Linked DNA regions of Arabidopsis thaliana. The protein of the gene in region 2 interacts with the protein of the main gene of each other region in a pairwise test. Each region holds a gene or a part of one and is shown on either strand. Other genes may lie near its edges.

What was found.
Region 1: the proteins of AT3G06410 (region 2) and LBD32 interact in a two-hybrid assay, tested with the Arabidopsis thaliana proteins (one large-scale study listed by BioGRID).

What each region holds. Positions count from the first base shown.
Region 1 is NC_003075.7:11,931,306-11,934,711, reverse strand, and holds LBD32 (LOB domain-containing protein 32), read right to left. Parts: upstream 1,416-3,406; 5' UTR 1,412-1,415; coding exon 833-1,411; 3' UTR 826-832; downstream 1-825. Other genes in the region: CYP706A1 (cytochrome P450, family 706, subfamily A, polypeptide 1), read right to left, coding at 3,192-3,406.
Region 2 is NC_003074.8:1,946,335-1,951,780, reverse strand, and holds AT3G06410 (Zinc finger C-x8-C-x5-C-x3-H type family protein), read left to right. Parts: upstream 1-1,864; 5' UTR 1,865-2,252; coding exon 2,253-2,343; intron 2,344-2,429; coding exon 2,430-2,593; intron 2,594-2,776; coding exon 2,777-2,842; intron 2,843-2,973; coding exon 2,974-3,099; intron 3,100-3,188; coding exon 3,189-3,503; intron 3,504-3,589; coding exon 3,590-3,889; intron 3,890-3,983; coding exon 3,984-4,310; 3' UTR 4,311-4,769; downstream 4,770-5,446. Other genes in the region: CHR11 (chromatin-remodeling protein 11), read right to left, coding at 5,081-5,170, 5,265-5,446.

The DNA.
Region 1 (3,406 bases), on a different chromosome or scaffold from region 2:
CAGACAAAAGAAGTTAACATGAAAGAGATATGAAACTAAAACCAAATGAAATTATAACTTTGAATGACGATAACTCTCAAAGTTCATAAGTGAAATATATATATAAAAAATATAATTATTGACAAATTCTACTGGGTCGTAATTCGTAAAGAAGGAGTTGTTGAATATAATAAATACTCTTAATTTTCATTGTACTAATAAGTAATAGTATAATTTATATGATAATCTCTGATAGAATTATTGGAGAAAACGAATGATAATAACATATATAATTTGATAGGAAATACAACGCCAATATTGACCAAGTCGCCCCCAGTGTTGAAGTCCCATTCAAATATTGTCTAAAGAGAAAAGAAAAAATAAAAATAAAAAATGAGCCAAAAGCTTTTTGTGTATGGACGACAGAGCACTCCTCGTCGGACTGTCGGAGAATTGTATTTCTTCTCATATCCAATTTTTAAACAGTAGAAAAACATGATGTTTTTAAGTGTTACAAACTTTAGAATTATTTCGGAGTTACCAATCAAGAATATACAAACATCTTCAAATCCTATAATATAGATTACTATTTGCAAAAAACTATGGAAATTAAATATGGAAATGCTGTTAATAAATCTTTATAAACTGGTCAAATTATGTTTTTTTTTTCTTAAAAACTTTGTGATATATTAAACTTAAGACATTACAAACTGTAGAATTATAAAAAGGAAAAACAGAGAAGAGAAACACAGAATTATTATGGAGACTCGAGTTTAAAAGAAATTCACGGAAAAGACATAATTAAAATTATTTTTGGTTTTGATTTTCAGAAAATGGAAGTATCTCTTCAATATCACTTACCAGCAGATGTTGATGCACCATCAGCTCTATGCCCATCTTTCAGGTTTTTATCTTCCATCTTCCCAAATATGCTATTCATTATCATTGGTGCATTATCAGCAGCAGTTGGGAGTTGCATAAGTTGATTCTTTTGAACTTCGTTTAAACTCTTAATTTTTGCAATAAAAGAATCTAAAGAGACTGGTGTCATGAGGAAATCATCTGGCATTGGAAGATCATAAAATTTTGGTACTTGATCGTGTCCCACATAGGTTCCAAGCTCATTCACCGCGGATTCAATATCTTGTTCAACATTATTGAGAATATTCTTGTATTGTAGAATCATGTCATGACAACCAGAAATAGGATTACGTATACGAGCCTCAGCAGCATAACGTAAACAGTTGGCAGCAATCTCTCGTTGTTCTGGAAATTCAAGATTATCAAGGATATTGCAAACATTCACGGCTCCAAAAATCTGAATAATAACTTTGAAACTTGCATCGTTTGATGGAAAATGTGGTGCATAAATGCACATTGGAGCACAAGTTTCATTCAAAATTTTGCAGACAGCACAACGGTTGGAAGCCATTCTTCTTTGTTTTATTTTCTCTCTTAACCCCTAAATAAAAAAATTGTATGAGAAAAAAAAATTATCAATACACTTTTAAATATATGCATATTTGATTTATATTAACAAAATTAAGAAAAATATCTTCAAGATATATAAAAATTTCTACATATTTAAATTATATATCATAAATAATACCACTAAAATTTATATTTTCACCATTGCTTGTGATGAGTAAAAAATCTACGTAAAACTACATAGATATATATATAATTTAAATATTCAATAAATCTTCCTAACTTAAGCGATTAGAAGTTCTTATAGAAATCGTACAAACATAACAATATCATATCAATGTAACATAAGAGAACAAATTCTCACGAAAGATCTCATAGTCGAATATTTATAAAATCATTTTTTGTTTTTTATGTAGCAATGAAAAGTGTATAAAATGGATGTAATAAAACATGAGTGGTATATATGAAAAACTATTATAAGTTAATGACAAATAAAAAAAACTTCATTTTAAACGTTAGATCAAGATGGTGAGATCATGCAATACCTTGCTCCAATGTAAGAAAATGTAGTAAATATAAATGATGCATAGAATAACAAAATGAGTCATAGTTTTATAGGCATGTCTCAAAACATATTTAAATTGCCATATCAATAATTTTAGGTAAGATAGCAATGTTCAATAAATATCGAAAATTTGACTTATTTATTTATGATGAAGAGTTATTGTTTGACTGCGCAATACTTGTTTAGGAAAGATAATAACATTATTTACTATAATTATTATTTTCCCAAATTATCATGACTAATGTCTAATAAAGGGGTGTTATTCGTTTATGATTTCAAAAGAATTTAAGTGATTTAAACTGTTATGTAAAATTTGTTGTTATTTAATCAAGACTTTTTAAAAGTATGTTAAAATTTTGTGTTATTCATTTAAGATTTGTAAAAAATAATTTAAAATCTTCATAAATTTTGGGTTATTAGATTTATACACTTATAAAGTCATTAAAAGTTTTGTGTTATTCAATTAAAACAAAAGAATCTTTGATTGTTAATAATTTAAATTATTATGTTATTGGTTCATGACTTTCTACATTTTTCTTCTTAAAATGAAGTCATGAAAAATCATTGAAAAGTATTATCAAAATAGAGAGATTGTTTGAAAAACTTTACAAAATTATGAAAAACTAATCAACAAGATTATAAAAAAGTCTCTAACAATCGTTTAAAATCTTTCATTTTTTTACTTTCTAGTATTTGATTGAAGTCATCAAAATTCCTTATAAATTAGGAACCAATTACACCCCCTAAATATCAAAAATTTGACTTATTTATTTACAGATAGATGAAAGTAAATAACTGTTTAAGTGTACACAGTATTTATATTTTTTGTAATGTATAATAGCGTCTTTTACGGTATTTTTTTTTTTCCAATTACCATGCATTAGATATGTCAAATTCTGAAGTTTTGAGTACCAGTTGATCGTTAATGTTTACATATCCAAAACTTCTGTGGTTCTTAAGCCCATACACTGTATGTGTAATTTTGTTGCCAAGAATTTTATAGCTTATGGTATCGACTTTGGACACCAAAATAATGCGTTATTATATATTGTGACTAAAACTTTATTTTATTATATATAAGAAAATTAAATTTAACTTGACACATCTTTTTTTACAAAGCATCAAACTCCAAACACGAATAAAGAAAAATAAACTTTAAACAAGAAAACTCAATTCAACTTCCTCTCATAAGCTCAAACCAAATTTCCTTCTTACTTACTTAAGCTGTATAGAGTTTTGGATCGGACAACCTTGGAACAGGAATAGCCACAAGTGGAGACTTCAACTTAAGAACAAGACCAAACTTCTCTTCAACCTCAAACTTCTGTCCTTGAGGTGCTTTCCAATCAAAAGAGTGAAGAAGTGAAGCAATGTTGAACAGAACAAGTCTCTCAGCCATGTTAATCGCCGCACAAATCCTCCTTCCTGACCCAA
Region 2 (5,446 bases):
CAAACTAAATTGTCTCTCTTTTGTTTAACAATGTTCACACATATATATTATCGGATGTAAACATGGGTTTATTATTAGATGCAAGGCCGGCCCAATAAATTATTGGATCTTGTGCTATGCTCCAAATTTTTTTACCTAAAACTCTAAATATTTAAAAAACTAGACCCTGTTTTGCAATTATTTGAAAATTTGGACCCTAAAATATAAAGAAAAAACTGAATAAAGAATTGGGACCCGGTGCACTAGCACACTCAGCACCTCCCAAGAGTCGGGCCTGATTAGATGGTGACCATACTGAAACAAACTAATATGATATGTCAATGTTTTGAGTTTAATTCTATTTGGTTTCTCATTATTCAAAATAACTCTCATTAAATGGAACAAAAACTCTTATTAGTTTAAATCTTAACTTTTTTTATGAAGAGAATGGGCTTCTTTACCTACTACACTCAATGAGCCCTCTGGTTCGTTTGGTCATCAGTTCAAATGGACAGTGACTTTGGAATAGATCTCGACCGTTGGTCATCATCACCCTAATGCTTTGTGTTGCCGTTGGATTGGTCATGTCATGACCAAACCAATTTGACTTCTTTATGTGATGTAAAAGTCTTATTGCTCTCAAATAATCTTCTAAACCATCCACGCGCCTGACTAAAGCAACTGAACGTCAGACGCTACAATAGATCCAAATTAAGAAAATGGGAATACAATTTTTTTTTTTTTTGGTTGGGAAAATAATATCTCTCACTTCAGAGTTCAGATATGAAAATAAATATTTATATCTTCTTGTTAATTCGACATAAATTTTACCAAAAAAAGAGAAAAAAAAACTATCGTACTCTTTGTTTTAAAATAATTTAATCGCATAAAATACAATTAATTTATAGCATTGGTTTGTAAATACCATGGAAAACTCATAACCAAGAAGGAAAAAATTGTATTACTAATTGATTGGTGAGTGGGTGACCAAAATCATTTGTAAGAAAGGCTTTCGATTGGCATGTTGTTCATTGTTCTTGTAACAGTTGCATCTTAAGTAATTAGTATATACGTGTAAGATTTATGGAAAATGGAGTTTAATGGATGGAAACAAACAATATCAGTGACACAATACTATTTTGCCCATGCTCAAATGGACATCATGTTCTATTTTTTCTTGACAAGTAGAGAGATTCATCGCTTTTTAAAATCAAACTTTCATTTTGTAGTGGGAGCCTTAATTGTATTTGACCCATAAATCCAATTTCTTCATGGACGTGTCGTGGTCCATTGATTAAAATAAAAAAAGTAGAATAAACAATCGCTTTTAATTCTTTTTAAAAACAAAGAAACAATCCAATGTAATTTTCGATTAAAATCATTTTGATTCGATGTGATATTGTGTAGAGAAAACTTCATTAGCAATTAATTTACTAAAATATAGTAATTGTAGTACAAAATATATTTCCTATAATCTAAGTACAGTATTTTATCGATACTAAATCTAACAGTCTAATAATCAACGTCCCTTTCCTATACATGAATGTACAATTAAACAAAAAATAGAAATTTATAGACTCAATGATTTAAAGTACATACCACCAAATATGGCAGCCTAGTGATTGTTGTAATAAGCTTTTCTAAAATATTTCTACCTGATTTTCAAGCTTTATAATTTGTATTTCAGATTCTTATTTATATACCAACAAAAATATCTACGTAAAATTTATCATTTTCTTAAAATATATTTTGGTATTTAAAAGGAAAAGAAATAGAGAAGAAAAAACAAGAAATAAAATAAAAAAAGAGAAGAGAGAGAGGAGAGGAGAGGTCACTAATTGTCTATGTTTGGCGCGTATATTAACCACCACCGGCAAAACACCCACGAAAAAGGCGACCACGCATAAAGAAAGATCAAAACTTCCCCATCACTTCCAAAAAGCAATAACACACACACAAACTTGTTACCAGGGAAATTATAAATAAAAATCGTAGCCGAAAATTATAAAAATATTTTATTTTTATTTTAGTTCAAAAAAGTTTTCAGCTTTGAAGGCAGAGAGAGAGAGAGAGAGATCAAGCGACTAGTGAGAGTGGTGTTGAAGCGAAACTACGATCTTCTTTTTTCCTTTTCAGATTTTCACAATCACAACACTCTTCTTTGATCGGAGCTCTAACATTCCGACAAAAGCTCAAAAAAAAAAAAAAAAAAGACTTCTTTCTTTTGCTCTTTTGAGGGATTTGTCTCCCTCTGTAGAGATTAGGGTCTATCAATGGAGCGGTACGGTCGCCCCGGTGAAGAAGGGTCGCGATCGGATCCATCTCTTGAATGGACCTCTCATGGTGGTGAAACCGCTGTCGAAGGTAATGTCTCTTGTTAAAGTTTTGATTTTTCGGGATTAATCTGCGATTAGAGCTGTGAATTCTGATTCAAATGCGTGTTTTTGTAGCTCCGATGTGGCGGTTAGGGTTGAGCGGCGGCGGCGGAGGTGGAGGAGGTGGAGAATCGTACCCGGAGAGACCTGACGAGCCTGATTGTATTTATTACTTGAGAACCGGCGTTTGCGGGTACGGGTCAAGATGTCGGTTTAATCACCCACGAGATCGTGGAGCGGTAAATGATTTCTCAGTTTCAGATTCTTCTCCTTATTCACCAATTTCAATTTCAGATCAGCTACTGAGAGTCTGATGATCAGATCGTTAAATTGGTCACTGGGCATTGTTAAATTAAAGCACATATAAACAAACCAAAATGCTTAAGAAGAAGTTTTTTGTAAGCTCTGATTTTGATGTTTAGGTTATTGGAGGTGTGAGAGGAGAAGCTGGAGCTTTACCGGAGAGGATGGGACATCCGGTTTGTCAGGTTTTGTTATCTGAATCTCTTTCTGATCAAACTATGTTCCGGTTTTAAGCAATGCAGTTTCAATTTCTCTGCTTTTGTTTATTTAAGAGAAATCTGTGAACTTTTTTTTTTTTTTTTTTTTTTTTTCTCAGCATTTTATGCGAACTGGTACGTGTAAATTCGGTGCTTCTTGCAAGTATCATCATCCTAGGCAAGGAGGTGGTGGTGGTTCCGTTGCGCCTGTCTCGCTAAGTTATTTGGGATATCCATTACGCCCGGTTTGTCTTCTAATCTCTCTAATGGTTATGTGGATGCTTCCACATTGTATTGTATGATCTCTAAAAGCTCTTCAAAATTTTGATTACAGGGAGAGAAAGAGTGCTCTTATTACTTGAGAACCGGTCAGTGTAAATTTGGTTTGACTTGTAGATTCAACCATCCCGTGCCACTCGCTGTACAGGGTCCACCTCAGCAGCCGCAACAGCAGCAGCCACAGCCACAGCCGCAGCTACAGACTATTTATCCGACACTTCAATCTCAATCTATTCCTTCGTCTCAACAATATGGGTTAGTTTTGACTAGGCCTTCTTTTTTAACTGGTTCATATCTTCAAAGCCCTTACGGTCCTCCAATGGTTCTGCCTCCTGGAATGGTTCCATACTCTGGTTGGAATCCTTACCAGGTAAATCCATCTTCTAAGCCTTTATCTCGCTTTTGTAGGATTCTTCATTGCTACTCTTTTTGTAAATGAATCTATCGACTTTTTAGGCTTCTTTAAGTGCAATGCCTTCGCCTGGAACTCAACCGTCTATTGGATCAAGCTCTATTTATGGACTCACGCCGTTATCTCCTTCAGCGACTGCATATACAGGAACATATCAATCTGTGCCTTCTTCAAATTCCACCTCAAAAGAGTTTCCTCAGCGACCTGATCAACCCGAGTGTCAATACTTCATGAGAACTGGTGACTGTAAATTCGGATCTTCGTGTCGATACCATCATCCTGTAGATGCAGTTCCACCTAAGACTGGCATTGTCCTCAGCTCCATTGGCCTTCCACTTCGTCCCGTAAGTCTTTTTTCATTTTTCTAGAGATACAAACTCGATCCAATATAAGATTTTCAACGAGTCTTGATATGATACGTTTCAATGTATTTGACAGGGCGTAGCGCAATGCACTCACTTTGCTCAACACGGAATCTGCAAGTTTGGACCGGCGTGTAAGTTTGATCACTCAATGAGTTCTTCGCTTAGCTACAGTCCGTCTGCATCATCACTAACTGATATGCCCGTGGCGCCATACCCAATCGGATCATCCTCACTCAGCGGCTCATCAGCTCCAGTAAGCTCTAGCAATGAACCCACCAAAGAGGCTGTGACTCCTGCAGTTTCTTCTATGGTCAGTGGCTTGAGCCGTCCTGAGCCAGCTGAGACGAGTGGTGACTCAGCCAGCGTCAGTGGCAGCATAGAAGCTAAGACTTCAAGTTAAAAAAAAAAAAGAGAGGAAAATATTCTCAATTCTTCATGAACTAAGCAACATTAAGAAAAAAAGAGAAAAGAAGATTATTTTTGGGGTCTGAGATTTGATGGAAGCAGAGAGACTAAAGCTTCTGTCATTGACCATTTGTCCATATATAATATATTCTCTCATACGGCCATCTCTCCTCTCTTGTTTATTTTTCTTGAATAACGAATTACTAATAAATGGCCTTATTCAAGCGACATTCATCAGAAGTCCCCTGTTTTTATTCCTTCATGAATCTGGAGGAGTAATTTAAAATGTCTGCGAACGTAGAAAGAAGCATAAACGGATATAGTGTACACATTTTCTCTTCCTCGTTCTTGTAAGTTGTATCCAATGACATCTACATTCAATCACTGCACATTGCACGAACAATGCCTATGTACATCTTCTTTCCACAAAAGTATCAGATCTCTCCTCTCTAAGTAAATAAAATGCAACCGTTGAACAAAGAAGTAATAAATTGTGGAAAAAATCGTCTGTTCATATATCCCTCAGAAACTCATAACTTTTGCTTAAGCTTCAGCCTAAGTTGCCATCCAATGGCCTCAAATCCTTTTGTTCAGTTTCTTTACGGAAGAGAAGTCTACAAAATTATAATTAAGTCATTTCATTAAATCCAAGTCAAACCAGGACAAACATTCATGAAAGCAGAATGAAATCCATTTGCTATGTTTTTAACATTAGCTTAACTATATGTAACAACAAAGACTCGACAGATCCGTAAACACATAATCTCATCTCATCGACAGGTGCTTCCGCTTCTTCGTCGATGAAGGACTCTCACTTGCTTGTCTTCCTAAAGGTCGCTTTGATGGTGTTGCACTCTTCAAAGATTAAAAACCAGAAAAGCATTAACCACCTAAAGAAATCAAATCAAAAGAATACAACCTTATACATGAAAATATTGCATTATTTTACCTTCGCGAGCTTCTTCTCTTTGCGGGCTTGCCTCTCTCTTTCATCAAACTCCTGGTTCTCTTTCTCGATCAGTCGAATCAGAGTGTCGCATCTTCTTGCAAGTTCCTGACTCGTGCGGGATTTCACAAACCAGTCAAACCTGAACACAGACGATGTCCTAAATGCTGCCTTTAGCTCATCCC